Neodiprion lecontei: one gene and its partner. The protein of the gene in region 1 purifies or fractionates together with the protein of each later gene. This does not show direct contact. Links are inferred from orthologs where the notes say so. Each region holds a gene or a part of one and is shown in the gene's direction. Other genes may lie near its edges.

Evidence for each region.
Region 2: the proteins of syntaxin-6 (region 1) and vesicle-associated membrane protein 4 purify together in Homo sapiens (co-immunoprecipitation; 5 studies listed by BioGRID and IntAct, counting the BioPlex papers as one, with this or other methods). This does not show direct contact. The link is inferred for Neodiprion lecontei from reciprocal best matches to the Homo sapiens genes STX6 and VAMP4.

The regions. Positions count from the first base shown.
Region 1 is NC_060261.1:7,228,673-7,241,179, forward strand, and holds syntaxin-6, read left to right. Parts: upstream 1-6,733; 5' UTR 6,734-6,981; coding exon 6,982-7,016; intron 7,017-7,852; coding exon 7,853-8,055; intron 8,056-8,533; coding exon 8,534-8,628; intron 8,629-8,742; coding exon 8,743-8,802; intron 8,803-8,929; coding exon 8,930-9,162; intron 9,163-9,287; coding exon 9,288-9,382; coding exon of another isoform or gene 9,383-9,513; exon of another isoform or gene 9,514-9,752; coding exon 9,753-9,904; 3' UTR 9,905-11,611; coding exon of another isoform or gene 11,612-11,688; 3' UTR 11,689-12,002; downstream 12,003-12,507. Other genes in the region: probable medium-chain specific acyl-CoA dehydrogenase, mitochondrial, read right to left, coding at 896-1,048, 1,238-1,510, 1,591-1,731, 1,806-1,914, 2,196-2,326, 2,721-2,801, 3,284-3,384, 5,450-5,617 and 2 more. UniProt on the Homo sapiens protein: SNARE promoting movement of transport vesicles to target membranes. Targets endosomes to the trans-Golgi network, and may therefore function in retrograde trafficking.
Region 2 is NC_060262.1:41,730,130-41,740,845, reverse strand, and holds vesicle-associated membrane protein 4, read left to right. Parts: upstream 1-4,462; 5' UTR 4,463-4,482; intron 4,483-5,288; 5' UTR 5,289-5,357; coding exon 5,358-5,423; intron 5,424-5,567; coding exon 5,568-5,617; intron 5,618-5,748; coding exon 5,749-5,799; intron 5,800-6,034; coding exon 6,035-6,267; intron 6,268-7,904; coding exon 7,905-7,984; 3' UTR 7,985-8,157; downstream 8,158-10,716. Other genes in the region: UDP-glucose 4-epimerase, read left to right, coding at 1,134-1,263, 1,582-1,700, 1,775-2,065, 2,180-2,360, 2,530-2,805, 2,881-2,978. UniProt on the Homo sapiens protein: Involved in the pathway that functions to remove an inhibitor (probably synaptotagmin-4) of calcium-triggered exocytosis during the maturation of secretory granules.

The DNA.
Region 1 (12,507 bases):
CTTTTATGACCGCGAAAATCAACTTGACTAACGTGCGACGCGACGTCGCGCGGATATTCTAAACAGATTACTTTCGTTTTCGCTCGTCTCACTTTCTAATCTCGCCGGGCTGAATACACATTCGCACACGTACATTACAAACATACGCGCGTCGTTCGAATGATTTCGTTTTTCACCTTGTTTTGCTCTGTTTCTTTCTCGTCTTGTCGCGTATATGTTTAAAACGTAACCGTTGCTGGCGTTCCAGGGTATTCAATGAATTCTATGAACATTTTCAACTGCGTTCACATTAATAATTTCATATGAAGCAAAAAATAAAATGTCCGGAATAAATTTCGAGGTATTTTTCGAAAACAACTCTCCACTGTAATCCCATATGAACATTAGAGATATGACTCATCATTCACCCCGCGAAACCTTGGAGAAATGGACTATAAAATACAAAATGCAAATTCCAGGATCACGAAGAATTTTACGGGAATAAGCAAATTATTTTACAAATACGTATAGATGATGCTAAAGTTGTCAAATCTAATGTCTCCTAAATATTGTATATTATACAGTCTACGACACGGATGAATGAAAAGTGATAAAGATAAGGAGAGAATATATTTACAATTTGAAATGGATTAGGAAACAGGTAGAGAATAATTTACGCTTCAGAAGTAAACTTCAGTCAAGTAAAGAGAATAAAAAATATATATTTTTTGTGAGCCTTATTTCACTAAACGCCCATATTTAAGACACACGCTATTTCATTAGCATTATGAATTCTGTAAGAAATTTTGTATGTACAATTGTATTGGTGGAAACAATGATGCATTGAGAATTATCTCAGCATTCTTGGTGCAATGAGATATTATTATGATTTGTACATGTGATTGATATGATTTGATCATTTACCACCTTGTTGAGCCTCTGACAATAAAGCACGTGATATAATCATTCTTTGAATTTGAGCTGTACCTTCGTATATTTGATAAATCTTAGCGTCTCTCATTAGTTTCTCTACAGGGTATTCAGTGTTGAAACCACAGCCGCCAAATATCTGTAAAGAATCACACGTTGATACTTGGTGATTATACCTATTGGTGATTAAACACTAAGTAGTTTCAAATCAAACGTAAAAAACTGAATTCTACGTTCAACTTGCCATTTTGTACTTATGGATATGAATAAAAACTTTTTACGCAATGCTTATCGAATATACAATTGCAATTCTGGACTTGTGACAAACCTGTACTGCATCTGTGGCGCACTTATTAGCCACGTCTGCGGCATAACATTTAGCAATACTGGCTAGAAAGGTGTTCCTTTGGCCGTTATCGACAGCCCAAGCAGCTTTCATCCAAGCTAGCCGAGCTGTTTCGATTCCAATCGCCATATCAGCCAACAGGAAAGCTACTGCCTGATGTTCGGCAATGGGTTTGCCGAAAGTTTTTCGTTCCAGAGCATACTTGGTAGCTTCGTCCAGTGCTCTTTGCGCCAGTCCAACTGCACCAGACGCAACCTTGCAACGATGAAATAGTTTTCAAAGAATATGAAATTCCACGACAGAATTCTATTGAAGGAAAAAAAATAAACAGTTACCGGAGGACGAGTTTTGTCAAAAGCTCCCATTGCAATCTTGAAACCTTGACCCTCACCGAGCAAGACATTCTCCTGTGGGACACGTACATCTTCAAATGTGATCATGCGGGTATCAGATGCTCTTTGCCCCATATTCATTTCCTGAAAGTTTTATCCCTGAAAGTTACTTTTCTAACCGTGGGGTAACAAGTAAGTCATCCGATCATTAAACTTACTTTACGTCCAGGAGTTAGACCCGGTGTATCCCGCTCGACGATGAAACCAGTAAATGCCTTACTAGTCGGTGCTTTAGGGTCTGGATTAGTGCGAGCCAGAACAAAGTACCTATGAAAATGGAAAAATTGAATAGGATTAGAGTTCTTTTAATTTTGTATTATTAGTAATAAACTTCACATTAAATCAAAAATGCCGTTATAAACAAAGTCATGGATTTTCAGGAATATCAACTCTCTTACCACCATTCCTTTTGTCACAATTCATTCTATTAATCTATTCATTCAATTATTTTAGGCTGAACTGAATTTCAAAGTGCTTAAAATTGTACTTGCTAGATTGTAAATACACGTAGTTAAATTTAAGGAGTAAATTTCTACCCTCAATATTACCAATTGGCAACACCGCCATTTGTTATCCACATTTTAGTGCCATTGATAACCCATTCATTTCCTTTTTTCTCTGCTCGAGTTTTAATGGCGCTTACGTCAGATCCAGCCCCAGGTTCGGTTACACAGTAGGCCTGCCATGAACGAATCATTATCAATTTATTCACTTACTATCATAGCCTGAAGAGTTCAAGTTATATCTTGGAACTCGTGGAATATGGCAATTGCCGACCCTTACAAAAAGTAAATTCTTCAATCACACAGATTTCCAGCAAATTTCTCGCGATATCTACACGCGTTCAAAGGTTATTCACAAGTCTCAGTACCTTTGATCCACTCTGTATGAAATGTGTAGCACGAACCTTGGTATTCAAATTGTGATGTGATTGAAAAAACAACCGAATTAAGAGATGAAAACATTTTTCATTAATGAGTTTCTTATGTTGAGTATTAAAACACTAGTAAATTAGTATATACTATGCATAGAAGAATGACACACTCTGGTTCTTGAATAGAAGGGTAACTTACCGCTAGAAGTGGTTCGTCAATGAGTCTTCCCAAGTATTTCTTTTGTTGTTCTTTAGTTCCAGCAATAATCACAGGCATTTGCTATGAAATCAATTTTAACACATATTTAGGAAATACGGAATGTACTTTAAAACAGCAACAACAAGCGCAATAATTTTAATGTGACTAAGCAAAGGTTGTGCTTCAGTAAACTGATATACAGATGAACCTCATTACCAGATTTAAGGACATAATAGATGGTGCATAGACATTCTCAATTAAGCTGCAGCAATTTCTTACACAAAACAGAAGAGACAGAGAGCATTTATTTTCTTTCCCTACTTCGGATCCTCATATGCAAAAACTATTAAAATTAGAAGATGAAAATACTATAGAGTGAAATTTTGGCAATAAAGTTTAAAAAATATAAATTTGCTCATTCAAGACTGCACTGTAATTTACTGTGGAAACCAGTATGAGAGTATTGTTGATCGTGGTGAAAGGATGTTAATGTTTAGAATTAATTCATAAGTTAGTCAACAGACAAAAAAATTAGTTTTCGATCGCGAGCAGAATGAACTTACGCCGAGACCTGATCCCTCCATTGCAGTCTTTATCCCTGTACAGCCATAGGCAAGCTCTTCCGCCACCATGCAACCGTCAAAAATACCACATTCTAATCCTCCTGGAATGTACCAAAAGCCATTTAATGTATCACATGTCATGGCTATTTTGGCATATCGCACGATTTTCGTTTCAATCTCGAAACTTCTCGTTATTGGGTAATGTTTTTTCCCTAATATATCTATTGGACCCACATGTCAATAAGTAATTCATAAAATATTTGATATCGCTTCGATGCTCCCATACAAGCCTCCAAATGTAAAGTAGAACAATACGTAATTACTAAGTAAGATAACCCACCAAGAAATCAACACTGATATTAATGATACGATGAATGACGTCCAACTCCCTTCGGCATGAATCCATATATCAGCTCAAGAACAATGAATTGCGATGGAATGTTACATTCACAAATGCCACTTACTCCTAATTTTGTGGATCCAATGCCACTAGCAATACCAGAGCATCCGTATGCAAGTTCCTCTCCAATCATACAAGAATCAAACGTATTCATTCCAATACCACCTGAATGTCAAATTAGTACTGTATACAATGTTACAACATTGTTCCATCTATTGCTATGCAATGAGCAACAAGTACTATGCTCATAATTTCCTATCGATAGTATTCTGTTTGTTTTGTTAACATAAGAATTCATAACATTGAAACATAAGATTCATTCAGTAATAGTGCGTAATAATAAAATGACTGAGGACATAAAAGTATAGTCGCCATGATAATGTGATGGACTGAACGTCACGGAAAGCCTGCAGAACTGTCGTGAGTATTAATTAACACTTTGTAGAAAATAACTATGTCAACTTATATAATTTGGTAACAATCGGAAATCCACAAAAAGCTGAAAGAGGATGAACTAACGAGCCTGGATGAAACGAGCTGACTGCTCCATAAGCTTGGATCAAATTTTTAAGAATTCTTTTTCATCTCCGGCAGGAACTTACTCCTAAGTCTGTGGATCCAAGACCACCAGCTATACCGGAACATCCGTATGTGAATTCCTCACCAACCAGACACGTCTCAAAAATACCTATTCCCATTCCTCCTGAAGATTCAATTGTAATTGAAAGTGACCGTATTAATTTGGCTTTGAGAGAGAGCAAATTGGTTGTATAATTGTACGATTCCATGTTGATTCCTCATTCCCAATTAAAAATTGAGTATGAAGTAGATACTTCTTTTGATCTTCTGTTTTATTTGACTGTGGTAAACTATCAGCAATTATTATTATATAATGGACAATTTCGTATAGTTGTAAAAACGATTCATTGCGGTATTTTGGCATATGTTAGGATACAGCACAGGAATTGATGTTGAGAAATGCCGTTTAATTGTAGTCTGGATGAATATTTTGCAAAAAAAAAAAAAGGAATGCAGATATTTAAACGAACACAAGTTTTAGAATTCGAAAAGAAATTTAACTTTCGTTATACCACATACAAAAAAACTTGTATCTGATCTTGAACAAGTGTGTGAATTCTCACATTTAAAATAAAATTTTCAACCATCCATGGTAAACCAACATCAAAATATACTTAATCTTCTGATACATTATCAAACATATGGTTCAAATATCTTGACCTTGTTATTGTTCAAATATTATTGTTTTAGCATGACAAATCATTGATTAACAGATATCTTGCAGAGCGATCATGTACCACTATTCTGATTAGATAAATATTACTGCAAAACAGATTGGGGCACGTTTGATTATCAGAGATATAAAATAATCGCACATCACTATGGGTTAAAGTTCAAAACAAACTTACCATCCTAATTATTTCAATTTGGAATTAGCAGTTGTTCAAAAGGTTCAAGATTCAATATATTAAATGGTTGAAACGCTGAACGTTTATCTGAATGGAAATAATAATGGGATTATACTATGCCAGATATATTGGAAAAACTTTGAACTGTGTACAAACAGTATTTGTCAGAATCGATACGAATCGATAGATTTGTTATCAAATTTGTAGAGAAATTGGTTGAAAAAACTTGTGTGGTATATGTTGCTTCAATTGTCATTCATTTGGATGCCCCCAGCTTCAAATACACGAAATATCATATCATCGGAAGAAAATTCTTAGCCAAGGATATTTTGAACATACCGCAATGCTGTGGAATGTGTCCGTTCATGAGTCCCAGACCCCAGGCTTTCTTGACAATTTCCCATGGGAATTTTCCAGTTCTATCGTGCTCCGCAGCTACAGGAATTATTTCTTCTCTTGTGAACTTCCTGGCAAGTTCCTGCATTTCTCGCTGCGTCTCAGAAAGCTCTGAACAAAAAATATAACAACATTGCTTCGGCACTAATTCTGTACTCAGAGTTTAAGTAATCAGAACAGTTTTATTTTCTTCGTAGAAAGTAAAGCATATGCAGCTTGACATTTTTCCCATTGGATTACTCATGATACTAAACTGTTAAAATATAATGTAATTAATGTCAAAATTTAATACTAACGGAAATTGTAGCCATTTGGTACTGCAGCTTGAGAAGAAAAAGACCTGACTGCTGCTTGTCTCACTGACCTACTAATCACCTGCAATTAGACGAACAAATGAAGGAAAATAGTTTGGAATATCTGATGACGATGCAATTATCCCTACTAATATTTTAAACCGTGCGTACAGTCTTGAATATTAGTGAAAGCACACAACGTTCGACGGGGAAATTATACCTGGCTCAAAGACATCCTGAACATAAACGAGTCGATCGACGTTGGAGAAACGATTGAGGTGAGAGTCCAGCTACAACAGTTCAAAAGTTTTGAAACTCGAATGGACTTTAACCCAGAGATAAATACAATCAGCGGACAACGGTGATGGCCTACAATGACCAGTTTTCCATCTGGAGCTAAATACGTATGTAAACTGGTATAACCCAGTATAACCAGAATTGGATTGGAGCAATCTCTTGTATCAAGGCTGTCATTGGTTAATTCATTTGAACTTGGCCGGATTTAGCACTAGATGGCAACGCAGTTGATAACCAAGTATCACATTTGGCAAGAGCATCCAATATACCGCTAAGCGGTGAAAAGCGCGCCTTTTAAAAGTAGAATGCTTGTACTTAATGCGGAGCAATAAGTGCCTTGGAATAAGTGAATGAGATGTAGTGAAATACAAGTAAAAATGAAGTAATTTCTACGGAAACATGTCAAAATAACTTTTATATCTGATGCATGAAAGTCTAAGCTGTCTATCCAATTGTCCGTTTAACGCATCGGGGAGTTTTTAGAGCTGGCAGCTGATTTCAGAACGCACCCTTAGCTACGTCGATTTGTAGAGCTTACAAACACGCGGTATATTTGAGAACTCGCGTTTCGGCCAATCGAAACTCGCGGCTTGTGGCTTGAGCTGGGTCGAGCATCGATCGTACACTGCCATCTAGAAGATCTTTGTAAGGGGTAAACGTCAAAATCGAATAAATAGTCGTCTGCAGTGGCAGACGTCATAATACACGACAGATGAGTAGAGTGGGGTGCGAGCAAGTGTCAATTTGATTATTGTTGTCGGTTTGATATAACAGTGCGGATTACAGTCTGTTATTTACTACCGATGATTGAGAAATTACGCTTAAAAATTTTTGCGGGTGCCACGGGGAGGCGAGAAGGGCCACCCTTTTAATTTCGGGGAAGGAATGACGCTGGAAGACCCCTTCTTTGTCGTCAAGGAGTAAGTTCACAAAATGGGGCTGACGTTATCAATATTTTCTTTGTTTTCTATACTTCTTTTATTCACACTTCAGCTCAAATACGCTGTTGCATCTGATATACTGTCAAATCACCTGGTTTACTTTTTTCTAAACAACAGGCAAAATTGTCATTCATCATTTACTATGTTTGTCAATACACGCGTTTCATGTGTGAGAATCTATTTAAATATCTCGGAATAAATTGCAGCACACGTTTTAAATTTTCGTAAACCGATATGTAAAATTACAAAAATTATTTTTGTCGTTTCTTCGTGTTCAAAATGTATCTTAGCATTATATTTCGCTAATGTTGTTAAAAAATAGCTGCGCTGCTTCTTGACAAAAAACGAATAATCATTATCAATTGTCTTCGTTAATATTGAATAAGGTCGTATAGTGTATACTCTGTGGATTTGCAACAATTTAGATTCGTATTATTCTTACTATTATCGTCATTTACAATCCCACAACTTATACCCTGCACTTAATTATTAAACATATTAATCGAAAATTCATATGTTCACAATATTTGAAACGAGAAATAGATCAAGAGTATCAACTGTGAAAAATTTTGTAAATATATTGAATAAATGTCAACAATGTTTCGTATTCGAATTCGAACCGAAACACAGTAAAATATTTTAATTGGTTTCCTTAATAGATACACGGGTTGTAACCGATGTAAATAAATAATTTCAAATGAAGCAAATTTATGGAAGAATCAGAAAGTTACATGGCTACGATCTGGTTGAACAATTTAAATAATTTTTATGTAGTTAAATTTTGTAAGGATGTAAAACAAAAAGTTGTCGTTTAGCGAGGTGTGCAAGGCTCTAAATAAAACACGAGCATTATACGGGCGTTGGACAGAGTTACAAGATGGGTCGAATGCAACAACAACTCCAACTGTAGTCGGAGGACTTCCGGTTTCGCGTGAAGAACTTGAGTGGACGACCACGGAATTGCGGAACGCTCTCAGGTCCATCGAGTGGGATTTAGAAGATTTAGAGGATACGATCTATATCCTTTTACTATTCTATGCTTTAACCTCGTGAAATTGTGTGTCAATAATAAAAAAAAAATAAGCAACAACTTTATGTATATTAATTTTCACGGTTTATTGTCGACGAAAATTCTTAAACGTCAGATGAAGCTTTATTAGATGTTTATTAGCGTTCACCGTCATGCCTGTAAAGTGCAATTCAGCACAAAAAAAAAAAAAACTTGTCTGTCATAATTTTTGCGTAATCGACAATAACGCGCCGAAAATTGTATTGATATTGAAAATCAAGTAAGTTGAACCATAAATTAATTATTGGAAATATTTTACAATATTTTTGCTCTTGTGATAACCTTACAGGGAAGTCGGGAATAGGCTAAGTTGAGAATAAACGTTTGTCTTTACTGGTACTATTTCCTTCACAATATTCTGCACGTTGACAACATGTTTATACCGTTCAAAGCTTAGCAAATATGTAAGCCTTAACTTCACACATACGTATCGTAGAAAAGAATCCAAACAAATTTAAAATCGATAATAAGGAATTAACCATCCGAAGAAACTTCATAGAACAGACTCGTGAGATGGTTAAGGTGAGGTTGTGCAGTTAAGGACTAACGTTTTTCTAAAATTTCCATTACCAACATTACATGACTCATCCTTCCATACTTCCAATGCACAATTGAGAGCCTCGTTCATTTTTTTAGATTATGAAAGAAAAAATGAATGTAAGCAGAGGACGAGACCGTGATCATACCGCGAGACAGGTCAGTATTCTTAACTGAAAACAAAGTATTGAATGCAAAAAGAAATTATTCGTTGATTTGTTAAGATTGTGCAATGAATGAATCCATAAAACTAGGAAGAAAAGTTGTTTATACCTGATTTTTACAGCCCCTGCTGGACAACAGTCCAGCTAGAGTTCCCGTCACTCATGGAACAACAAAGTACAGTAAGCTGGAAAATGAAATGGACAGTCCTAACCGGCAGTTCCTTGCGGACACGCTACAGCAGCAAAGCACAATGATGCATCAACAAGACGAGCAACTAGATATGATTGGAGAAAGTATTGGTACCCTGAAAACCGTCTCTCGTCAGATAAATACAGAGTTAGACGAACAAGCTGTGTAGGTCTGACACTGTATTTAAAAAAAAACAAATTCAATAAGAAGTTGATATTTGATGCTAGTATGACAGTTCACAAGTAGCAAAGTTTCCTTAATGAAATATTTAATTTTTTAAATACTTCCAGAATGCTAGATGACTTTGGAAATGAGCTGGAAGTAACAGACTCAAAATTGGATGCGACAATGAAGAAAATGGCAAAGGTCCTTCACATGAGCAATGGTAACTATAACAATTACATTCCTGCTCCCACCACCTCATCGTCTACAGCATCCGACCTTATTTCTAAGCCTTCCTCTTTATCCTCTTTATCTAGTACCTTAACAAACTGTTTCTTGTGTTCCGCGGAATAGGACATTGGTAATAGTGTTCTAGTCATGTAAACATAAGCTACCAATCCGTGTAATTCCTAATTCTCAAGTTGATGTTGGCTTGATTTAACAAAAAATTTCAATTTAAACGAAACATTTTTTAACAAAGTTTGAAAATCAAATTATATTGTAATAACAGCAGCTTATGTTTACACAATTAATATACATTAACCAGTTCGGTCTGTGCAGTATCACTTTGCACAATTTTAATTTTTGTTTAGTGCATCGCAAGGTCAGAGAGAAAAATACGTGCAATTTAGCAAAATCCGATAACCTAAATCAATTGAGGGCTGAATGGATTAATGACATGACACTAAGAGTTTACAGTTTACAGCAGATTAGCCTGATTAAATGGTATTTTCCTCGTCTATAAAATAACACGATTCTTGGGGGTGAATATATGATTGAATACATTGAAATGAATGCATGTATTCCATTTACATGGCATAGTCTTACTCAAACGAAACACTTTGGTGCACATGGGCTACCAATTTCGACAGTATCCGGAATTTCGTTCTTAGCCACCTTTCAAGAAAGTAACTCAGATTTATATCTCCTATCTCTTGATGTGGGAATGTATAACACTGGGTAAGTTATAAATTCAAATCTAGTTTCCATGGCGAGTACTGTCAAAATCAGTCACCATGCATCCAACAAAAAGTGTCCTGTTGCAGCAAAACTATTCCACATGTGTGTAAAAAAAAGTCCTTTACCTAATATGTGCTTTAGACAATAATGTACCATCTATTTGAACAAGAAATGGTAAAGAAAAATTATAATGTAACTTTTCAAGAGTTTCAGCTAGTCAAAACTATGACGGTAGGTATTTTAAATACTATCATCCCAAAAGTTGTGTCAATATAATTACCTATTAGACATGTGGTATGTACATAGTTACCACTGTTAAAGGTCAGAGAAATATTGAACGGGATGTACACATGAGTTTTCATTTAGTAAGAGTAAAATTATACGTAGAGGAATCAGCAAATGGCATCAAATTTGCATAATGAAATAATGTCATTCCTATACCTAGTCTAACAAGACCTGAAGTTACAAAAATTTGTATACATATAGCATAGTGTTACGTGAGGTATTAAAATCATGTTGTTGACAACTACTATGATTATAATACATATGTTATGAAACTGTTGTAGAACTGATCGAAGCGTTGATTCAGAATTTATAGAACCGTAGAATCTCAGCTGATCATTCTGTTGTTGCGACTTCGGAAAATGTACTTGTATACCTAGGTGAACAGATAAAACGTTGATAGTCTCTGGGAAGCGGATGTTAACTATTGTAAATGATGTTTTTGAAAGAAATTAGACATTCAATCCAAATATTCGTATTTGTTGAGAGATTTTAGAAAACTGTAATCAGTGGTCATTGTGACAAACTGAAAAGTAATTCATCTTAATCGAACACCAAATGATTACATACCACACTGAGTTGTATTGTACCCCAGACTACATATTCTAGTAAATTAAAACTTCCTTAAAAGTTGCAAAATATAAATTGAACACGTTTGCAGCTAATTTAAAGAAATGAAGACGATGCTGTTCTGAAATATAATCCTGACAAAATCAACATTGTTAACTAGGCTCATTTTCAAACGCATATCAGTTTTAGATTTTATCAGTTACCATTTTTGAATAGTTAGATTTCTGCCAAAAACAACTTCTATAATATGGAATTTAGAGATGCTTGCAAATAATGAATGTTCAAAGGAATGTAAGAAGAAAATCTACACGCTAACTCTAACCATTATGGTATATATATACTGTACTGCTTGGCAGTGGTTTAATTTTTTGATAAGTTTTGATTACACCTTTTAAGTTTAAAAACACATGAGTCCCCAAAATGTTGTTGAATATTTAAACAATTTGAAAGATTTGATATTACAAAAATAATAATAAACTTCAATGTTAAGGTCTTCTTCTGATTGTTGGTATTAAAGTTTAAACTAGGGTAAGACTTATTTGTGTTTCAAATTGTTACATATTGTCTCTCACAAAATCAACAAAATAAAAAATGTAATTTTATAAGTGGCGCATGTGATGTTACTTTCCGTTTGTTTTAGATCGGAGACAATGGGTAGCCATTGGCGTCTTGACTGCGATATTGGTACTACTAATTATTTTGTTTATAATTAAGTGAATAACTTATTTCATTTTACAGACTGTTCATCAATTATAGTGATTAATTTTCTTACTAGAATTTAAATGTAATCCAGTGTACACGTATACATATTACATACATATATGTATATGTGTATTATATATATATGTATATTAACTTTTGTTAAACAGCATATTTATTTACCAGAGTACCGTTTTACCGAAGATAAATAAAAAGATATTTACGTTGTTGTTAGAAACAAAGTGCCATATACCATACATATAATGTTAACTCGTCCTTTGTAAAATGGAAGAAAAATCAATATCTCGTAAAATAAAGGTAGTCACCTTGAATTTTGACAAAAAATATTTTTTCTTTTCTTCTTAGTTGTAAAAATTATCAATTCCTGTTAATTTTTTGACATCATAAAGCTGTTACTTATTTCAATTTCGCGTTTCAATTATTCTCATAAAAAACAAATCTCATACGAGGCCATACAAAAATTATGAATCATTGTAATTATTTTTTTAGTCTTATCAGAGTACAATGATTTTATAATTGTTTATTATTTTATATGCTACATTTTGTTCTAAACTATAAACTTCGTACAAATGTTTTTTGTTTTTTATTTATAATTTTATATAAGTAAAAAGTTTAAAGAGTAAAGTATTAAGTATTATGAATTGCCAAAAAACACCGGTAATCAAAGTTTCTAAAGTTGGCTGAAGTACCAGTCATTAATTTAGATTACCAGTTGTTCTTTCTTACTTTGTCGGTTCAAGGAGAGCTGAAACAGCCAACTTGACTGCACATCCATTGACAGATGATCCATACACAATGTTACAATGATTGATATAG
Region 2 (10,716 bases), on another chromosome or scaffold:
GTCCAGCCGTCTTGCCACGAGGTCACATCGCGCTTTTCGCTTGACGGTTCTCTCGTCGTGGAACTAGTTGTCTTGGCACACGCACCGGATCAGGTATGTTTCCGGTCTTCTCTGTCACCGTAATCGATACTTGCGTACATCATTCCCGGAGCGGAATCTCAACAATGTGTACATTTTCTATGTTCTCAACTCCTTTTGAATCTATCTTTCGAAACGTGTTTTGACACGTCAAATGACAAAAAGTTTGTCAAAGTACAATGTCTTCACAATTTGTCGTCAATTAACATGAATTTACTTAATCCAGTTTTCTCTTACGGTTTTTCAATTGTTTCTTTGTTATATTTCTAATCGCAGTTATTTATTGAAGAGAGTATATAGCGCTGGTTGTGTATTTAAGATCCGCTGCCTACCTCAAGTCTTCCTTTATAATAATAGTTATGTAACGTTGTACTTGAAATACCTGCAGCACTGAGTTCTTGTTATCTTTATCGTTTCATATTCATTACATTTTCCAGTCACGTATTGGTTATATCGAGCATGTTTTTTGCAGTGTCAGGCTATTCTGCATAATTGTATATCTATATTGAAGTTTCTAATAATATTTGGTATTATGGGATATTGAAAGAGGGTATTTTTGAAGTACTGTGTTGTCTGAGATAATTTGTTTAATTTCCCAATTAGGCAAATAATTAGTATTTTGAATTACATTCATTCGTAAGTCAGAAACTATGAAACATTATCTTTTTTTACAGTTTAACGTTGTTAAAAGTGACAAAATGGTCTCTCACATAAAGTTTGTTAACATCTCAACTTATAGTGCAGATAAGATAGGGAAAAATGTGATTCAATTTTCTGTTTGTAAGACGAATATTCAATGTTCCATTGATACTTCAGTCATATCTGCTAAACTGTCAGATATAAGAAAATAATCTAAAATTCAATAAGTAAGTTTTCTTTCACTTTTGTGTGCGATAATATATTACAATATAATTTCATCCATGTACAAGACGGTATTTCAAAATGTAACCCGTAGTTTTAAGGTTTAATTTATTATATACTAGTACTAACACTTTACTAGCACAATTAGAGGGGTAAAATTAGGAAGTAAGAATCAACACGAAGAAACGGAAGATATGTCGAGGAAAGGGCAGACTATACTGGTGACGGGTGGTGCTGGGTACATTGGCGCATTCACGGTTTTGGAACTACTTAATGCCGACTTCGAGGTGGTGGTTATTGACAATCTTACTAATGCTTACCAAGGTAAGATGGGAATTAATCAATATCTGAAAGTTATTTCCAAGCATTATGGAAAGAATACTCTCAACGCATCCTCCTCAAAGTAGCCTTATCGTTTTATCATGAGTTTAATTTCTCAATTATCGCTTCACTCAGCTGACAAATTTTATCATCCAGTTCCTATCGATAACATATGATACAATCTACCCTATTTATCTTTGGCTTTGCAAGTGCCTGAACTTGTATATAGCCTTACGCAATATGTTTGAGCAGCTGAAGAGTTTGTAGATGGCTCATTTAGCACACCGCTATATTAATATATTTTTTTACTTCATTCTGCAGCTTCGGATAAAAAGAAACCAGAATGTCTTCTGAGGGTGGAGGAACTGACACAGAAGCACGTAGCATTTCATTCTGTAGACATAACAAACAGAAAGGAATTGACTAGCATATTTCAACAGGTGAGTATCGAGTTATTCGCCATATTATTTACCACGATGTTTATAACAAACTATGAAGTTATTTTATTTTCTAGTATAAATTTGACAATGTGATACACTTTGCCGCTTTAAAGGCCGTTGGCGAGTCTGTTGCCAAGCCGCTTGAGTATTATAGAGTCAATGTTAGCGGTACTATAGTATTACTCGAGGTAATGCGAGAACACGGAGTCTATCGAATGATTTATTCAAGCAGCGCCACTGTTTATGGTCTTCCTGATAAACTACCATTAACCGAAGACATGAAAACTGGGGATTGCACCAATCCGTATGGAAAGTCTAAGTTTATGGTGGAGGAAATACTGAAGGACCTATGCGTTTCGGACAAGGTATACTTTTATGCTTGGTAGAAGAAATATTCGAGAATCTTTTAGTAATCACTTCATATTCACCTGGAAAAATATTCTAGAACTAGTCATTGAACACACACTGACTTCATCTAGGTTTGGTCCATCACATCCCTCAGATATTTTAACCCTGTGGGAGCTCATCCATCTGGAAATATTGGAGAGGATCCAAACGGCATACCGAACAACTTGATGCCCTACATCGCCCAAGTCGCTGTTGGAAAAAGAGAAAAGCTCTCAGTCTATGGAAGTGATTACAATACCCCTGACGGAACTGGTAATAATGAAGTCCGAGCCAGATAATGTCGTTCGATTTTTTCTACTTTTCTTCAACGGGGAATTTCTTCTTGTTCTCTTCTGTTGTGTGAAAAATTCTATAGTCACTTGAATATTACCAGGCTTTATCTTTCTACAAGTGTGAAATCTGCAAAATTTTTCATTTACAGGGGTTCGCGATTACATTCATGTAATTGATCTGGCAGTTGGCCACTTGCAGGCGATTTCCCACCAGCATCCCTCCGGCTTCCAGGTTTATAATCTCGGTACTGGAAGAGGGTATTCTGTTCTGGAAGTAATCAGAGCGTTCAAAGATGCTTCTGGCAAAGACATACCCTATGATATTGTAGATCGTAGACCAGGCGACATTGCGACAAGTTATGCCGATGCAAGCCGTGCTAATGCAGAACTGGACTGGCACGCAACACGGAATATTGATGACATGTGTAAGTTAGACTAGACTTTTCTAAATTAAAACACTTTATTGAGTGTCTTTTGATAAAAAATATCATTGATTACAGGCAAGGACACATGGAGATGGCAGCAGAAAAACCCGGATGGATATAAGAACGTGTCGTCCCCATTTTGCCCAGACGCCTGTTCTATAAAATCTAAATGAACAAATTAAATCTATAGATTAATAATTCCACCTAGACGGTGAACCTGCCACATCAGGTGAAATCGAAAATTGGATTGGATAATTTTACATCAGTTACATATATCTATGTGCCAGTGAACTGGAATGGATTTAGAATTTATTTATAATTAATAGGGTATAGAAAAGTGTATAAGTTGGGGATATCGTACTAAAATATAGCTTAAAATTACCAAAGACAAGACAGTGAGCTTAATAGTTTATCTAATTACGATTAAATCGATACGCACATTGTAATGTGTAATTTTAGAAGATGATAAATCAAAACTCAAACCCAGCTGACTTTACCGATAAAATTTTGAGCACCTCAGTAATGATACTGTGTACTTGTAAATTGGGAGGATTGAGGAGAAAAGATTCGATATTCAGAGTAGAACGATGACGTTTTTTTTTCTCGATATTGGTAAATTGTATCCTATACCTTCAACTTGAACAGAATTAACTCTGATGTACCATAAAGCTTGAACATTGTTTCATGACCTAAGTGACTAAGTTTGCTGTACGAGATTGCCTTGTATTGTAGGTGCAATATCGAATTCTACCAATTTCTGGGTTCTAGATAGTTTTTTAAATTATTATTATTATTATTATTACTATTATTGTTCTTGTTGTTAATAGTTGTAAAATATCTGTTGAAATATATCATAAATTAGTCATTTTAAGAAGGCAACAATGAAAGATACACATGTGTTCAAGAACATTAGTTCATATCAAACAATTCCCAGTTCTGTGTGTATTTTATTTCTAAAGACATCAATTAAATTTGTGAATTATAAGTTTATAATGTGCCATTATTGTTAAATAGTTGCAAAACCTAGCAAGATATCGTGTACACTGAGAAGTTCGAATAAATCATTTGAGAAAATTCATCTGCTTCAGTCTCCCATGTTTCAAAATTTGCGATGGCTTTAGATCATGGAAACGTATTCAGACTACGGATGCAGTGAAAGGAAGGTATAAACAGTATTTTCAAAAGTTATACAACTTACTCATGCTGCATTGTGACAATCAGCCCAGCCTCAACATCTGTGTCTCACAATATTTTTGTAACACGCGATGACGAACAAAATTTTCTACCTCTTGCTGTTCAATCCGTACGAGTGCATAATTGTGACACTCTCATTTGACCAGCGTATACTATGAATTAGTGAATATTTACACTCACAATTACTTTTCTAGTCGTGAAGAATTGCCATACGAGTTACTTAGATCAGTATATTCTTGATATCTCACTGTGACGTATGTTTTTTCCATTGTTATCGAAATAAATCTAAACTTACTGTTAGACATGAATAATAAATGAACCGTTTGTGACCCGCTTCTCGCTATTACCTCTAGTCAAAGTTTCGAACATGTAAATCGAAAGCGGAAGCATTGGGTAATCGTTGTATAGAATGAAGCATACTGGGCAGGCCTTCGATGATATGTCATGTCCGTTCGGAGGGTAAGGTGGGCAAAGTGTGAGTCGGTAAGTCTACTAATTTACGAGCACGGTTACGAGCATGCCGCCTGGGATTTGGTCGAAAGGTTCTCTATTCTTTTTCAACACATGAAATGGAAGAAGACAAGATATTTACGTGGTTATGTCAGTTAAACGTATCGGCATTGCAAAATGCAAAGTGACCAGCTGTGTACAACAATTGGATTTACCACGAATGAAGTATTGCTTGATACATTTTTGCCTCTTTGATTGTGATCACGGTCTTATAGACAGGTCTGGGCACTCCGGCTGTAAAACCGTGCTCGAAAATGACGCCGATGTTGTGAATTTTCGCCGCTAGCGCTAGTGAGGGAGAGGCCTACAGTACGCATACACTGGCCTCGGAGATTGCAGCGCTCCGGTCTTTGGTGCACAAATTGAGAAACACAGGCTTCAAGACGGTCACGCTGCGTTATATGGGAAGGGGCTTGGAGTGCCCAGACCTGTCTATAAGACCGTGATTGTGATCAAATATGCCGACATGGCCGCTACCATTAAAAATGTTACCCTTCATCCAAGTCTTTCACCAGAGGGTCTCTAATGATTTTCACTTATTGTTGCAAGAAACGAAATAATGCAACTAGTATGGATCAGTTCATTTTGAAGTAAATAAATGGGGGCGTTCAATGCTCCGTATGACCAGCTGTTGATGAATTGTTCAGCGCCGTTTGTTATTGTTGTCGCTCCGTCTGTCGTCTGCTGCATGAACGATTTCAGCGGTATGACAGATAAAGATGGACGTTGTATTTGGAATTCCTTGAGTTTTATTCTTTTAACCGTATCTCCACATCCAGTTTAAGGAACGACTGGAGTACTTGCCGTCCGGGACAAGTTTAATAGTATCCTGTGACATACCATCAAACATGCCTCCGAAGTTCAAGCGTAATGTGCCGCGTGACGACGTTGCCAAAGCCGACGACGTGGAGAAGGTGTGTTTGTTTTTTGTATGATTAATCTTAAGCCGTGAGTCATTAGCAACCGTCTAATGTTTACACGGTTCAAGACAGTCAAAAAGCTCAGAATTATTATTAGATGATGTCAGAATCTAATCCTTCTTTTGTTTATTTCCTTAGGAGACCCTCCTTGATCATGACAGCGATCCAGATGAAGAGATGCTTTTCAAGTATGCTTGAACGATCAATTATCCATACCATAGACATATGATCCATATTGTGAACTTACTTTTTTATCGCTGTTCATAATATGAGACTAAATTTCAATTCATCTGAGAAATTTTTTTGTTTATCGTTCCAGCCGCCCGAGTACTTCGACCAGTCAGCCATACAGAGATCGTAAAATGGACAGGTGGTGTTCATTTAATCATGATTTTTCTCTACCTCAGATTTTTCAAATGAACTGTTTTAAAATTACAATAATCGTGGAATAAAATGAGATAGAATTAGTTATCGAAGAGTTAGATTTGTTTCTGGCCTATTGCAAATTGTCATGCTCTCTGATAATCCAGAATAATACCGAAATCCAGATTAGAGTTACTGTTTATAATTGTATTCAATGAATTTTAATAATTTGTTTATTTTAGTGTTCGTATGCAGATAAAGGAAGTAACAGACGTGATGCGTGAAAATGTGCAAAAAGTGATGGAGCGAGGAGAAAAAATGGAAGACTTAGAAGTGGCCAGCGAACGGCTGACTATGGCTGGAAACGAGTTTCACGACTCGGCAAAGAAGGCACACCGCAGGGCTTGGATGCAGAACATGAAGATGAGAATCATTGTCGGCGCCATTATTCTGACAATAGTTATGAGTATTATTGGTGAGTAAACCTTGACTCGCTTTGACTCACCCTTGGTAACACGGCGTCACCAGCTTTTGCTGCAAGCTTCAGCAGGTGTGGCTTATTGAATTTTTTCGTGTAAGCAACTTTTCTGCCAAATGATGTCTAACTTTTCAATCTGAACAGCAAATGTTCCAATTCTAAGTTTTGAAATTTTATACATTCAATAATTTGAGAATTTTTTTAGTCACCATTACTGTCATTCTCTTACATTTTATATTTCACCACTTTTACATATTCATCTTTCCAGGAATCACTGTCACAATATTTTAATAACTGATAAGATGCATTTCATACCTTTATTGATTCTGTACATGGTATAAAAGGAAACCTAAGGCTTCTATGAAAAAGATATCGACAATTATGTTCATACTTTTAGCTGTTTGTCCGTTACTTTCTTGTACGCATTACGTACACGTTTATGAAATTTAATGAAATTTCCATGCATTACCAATATTCCTGGTGAAAAGTTAGTTTATAAAAAAAATCTCTCGGTCAGCACACATCAGTTCCTCAATCTGTTTTCTACATCTCCTTTGACCTCGCATTTGAAACTGTTCTAAAAGAAATATCTCGTTACCACTTCGTTTTAACGATACCCATCAATAATCTATATCTACATACTTTCATTCTGTTTATAACTTCCGCATTTATGTATATTGACCGATGGTTAATTAATTTATGATAATTACAATGCGATTGTAACCGATTCTCAATTGAAAAGCTTGTCACAGGTCTACTTCTGATGACAAAATCTTTCACCGAAGATTTATACGTATATAGGTGTTTGAGTTTTTTTCTTCGTTTCTTTTTTTCATTGATTTAACGAGAACTAGCCTCTAATGCCGCGCTGATGGTTCGGCCTGTATAATTTTCAGTTCTGGACATCTTGGTGCTTTACCTAGTCATCAGATAGTTAATTGGACTGGTGAAACAGCCTGTGTAGGAACCAAGGTATTGAGATCTGAGATATTGAATATTTCTATCGCTTATCGCCAGTGGTGTGAAATTACGTAATTATAATACCTGCACTACTGTATATAGATCACGCTACCAGATCCAATTTCCGCGAGTTAAAAACCTCGACTGCACTTGCAATGCCATGGAGCGTAATCACGCAACGCGGCATTGAAACCATTCGTTCCTGTTTCTGTAGATATTTTGTTGTCCAACATATCAATTATTGCTATAGACGGAAAGCCACTGATCTGATTGAGGTAGAGACTACAACATTTTATGGTCGCCAAAAAATTGTTGAGAAGGTCTAGCGGTCATAAATTATCATTTAAACACGCTGCGTTTTTAGAAGTTTTTAGAAGAATTACGCAAGTAATAATTCTAGGATGGGATTGGCCATTCTACTTGAAATACGATTCATAAGGATATAAATTTCTAACGTAACTACGATCATTTAGAAAAAATAAATTTCGATCATGTTATCAAATTTTGTGATAATGAATGCGAAGCAAATTATACCCTATATGCGCCTTTTTTCTTTACACTGGCAGACTGAATTTCTACCGGATTTATCCGTACACTTCAGTACAAAATATATTTCTAGGTGCGTTGATTGAGCTTTCATTTCATTGAATAAATTTAAAAATTTCAAATTCCAGACACCGCTCCACCGCTTTACGATGAAAAAAAGGATATCATTTTTCGTGTTCCAGGTACTTTGATCAGATGGTATTCCTGACGTCATGCGACTGCCTTCCAATACGTATCATAATTTCAGTTTAAATAATTGTAATATATTTTGTGATAACGAACTTTACTCCGTGAATTAGCATGTAGCCAAAATAAATGTTATTCTTGTAACTATGTATAAATAAACGACGTATCTCTACATACGTATAATTATGTTCGAAATTCCACGAGCTACCAACCTACCTACCTATTTGTCTGATACTTCTTCTACCCAATAGCAACTATATGGGGCTGTTTAATAATTCATTTTGTCCGTTCAAAGTTTAGCCTGTTTCAAAACTCTCTGCGAAGTTTCTTCGTTTTACCTTCAAGCAAATTTCATGGGGGCTAAAGTAAAGATATGTTTGCGAATAGAATTTAAAATTGCACCGCGAAAAATGATGCACTCTGACAGTGAAATTTGCAAAACACTTTGTCTTCAACGATTTCCTCCAAATGAGTTTCTGTAATTATGAATTTTGATTGGCGATTTGCTTGTTTTATTTAAAACGAGGAATCTGTTAAAAATCGCTGAATACGATAATTCACGACACTTGACTATAAATCTGTCTTTCATATAAGTTCAAAAGTTGATTAGCAGACAAACGGGCGCATTGGAAAAATCTAACGTGAATTAAAAATTTTCTGTTTAACAAGTCCAGTTTCTTGCTTATTTGGTAGAGTATAATTTCCACTTTGCCTTGATTAGATTATCATAATCGTGCGTACATGTATAATATGTATGAGAACGTTTTTTCCAGGATTAATTTGCATCGTACGCGTACTTGGAATATAATGTTTAAAAATGATTGAAATTCCGAGTGAAAGTAGAACGAGTAGATCCAGGAATATGTCAATTAGCCGAAGGCACATGTATGCTTTGTACCGTTCATTTACATGCATTGGAAGTGTTGGTTCCATTCGTTTCGTCTTCAACTCGCTGGACATGTGACTACCACGCAAATAAGGCCACAGGCCTTTACTGTCACCTAAATTATTTACAATGTTAATAATATATCAATAGCATCAAACCACTGCTAAGCCTCGATTTCGTACCTATATGAAATTGACGGATCTACGAACGCTGGTTACGAACTTAATCACTGATTCCTAAGTGCTTAAGACGTTTGGGTGAATTACTTCTGATAATTATAAGAGGCTTTGACAATCCCTCAATTATTCAACGGTATAATTCTACGCAAGAAGTGAGTAGGTCGTTCTCTGACCTAAAAACTGATTGAATATACGCAAGATTGTCAATTCATGACCAGCATATTATTTGTCCGTAAGATCGTAACTTTGTAACTTTTAAACGATTATTCCAGAATGTGGCGCCAAACTGGTGACAAAGTTACAGACCATTTTACCGCCGCGTTCGAGTGTCTTAATGGGTTATCCCTTTTTTTCGTATCGTCGAATTTATTGTCCAACACTGCATAGTGATTATCGCTGAATCACAATACTGTTAGAGAAATCGCGAGGCATATACAGTGCGTCATTACAACCGTTGCGGCCACTATGTGTGTTTATTTTGACGCAGTTTTATTGCAGGAATTCAAATTATACACAAGTATTTCATCAAATACTTTTTTCATCGATTGTCAGAAACTCCCTTTGTAAAAATACTTTGTCTAGACGGTCATGGGCTACGTTCACATGTATCCTCATCGTCTGTACTTCTTTTCCACTCGCCATGATTTCACTCAATTTATTTCTGTCTACGTTCAATGGTGCTAGTAGAGTTAGCAATCTGAACGCCTCTCTAGTTTGAAAAAAGCAAATGAATGCAATGATGCAACGGAGAATCAAATGAGCTTATGGGCGTGTCGCATTTCAGTGAGGGAAATTCATGTCAATGGAAACCGCACTTAATAATATTGAGCTATTAGACGACTGATTACTGGAAAAATTTGCGACAACCTGATTACAATATTTCGGAAAATAAAGTTATTTTTCCAATTTGCTACGATAGCCGATATATATATATATATCGCTATATATATATATATATATATATATATATATACATATAACGTAAAAGGTATAGTTGAGGTATTTTTGTCGTATCATCAAGATTCAAATTTAAAATACGTGATAGTGATTCAGCCTGAAAAGACCTGAGAATTACGCGATTTGTCTAAATATAATATAGAATAAACAGATAACGAAACGAGGATAACTATATACACACCGAGGAAAAGAAACGAAGAACGCTTAGGTATTAGGCAGAAGAATTTGTAATTAAAAAGAATTTTTTTTCCACCCTCGGATGAACGTGAAAGATTGCAAATTCGGCAGCGTAAAATTATCCGCTGGTTGTATATCCGATGTCAGCTTGTTATTGGCCGCGGAGTAAGTAATACATAGTTATACGTACCTACATACTTACAAAGTAGTCCCTGTGTATGTGCCGCGTGCATGCAGCGCGTCAGAGTGTAAGGATGAAGATAGGTGTACGTGTTACCCCGGCTCCGTTTGACAGCAGAAAATTGTCATATGAACGGCAATTGGCGTTCGTTCGTTCGTTCGCTCTTAGCGTTGGTGCAGGCAGCTTGTGTACGTATGTGGTCACGTGCACACGAATTCCTGGTTGAATGAGGGGCTATACGTGCAGGCAGGGAGCTTACGATCAGTTATCGTCGTGTTGTCGTCGCGGAGCGGAGTAGCTCAATGACAAAAGGACTGCTCGCGTAGTGATTCGTCGTTTAGTCGCAATTGTGCCGTTCTTTCCGACGCGTCGTT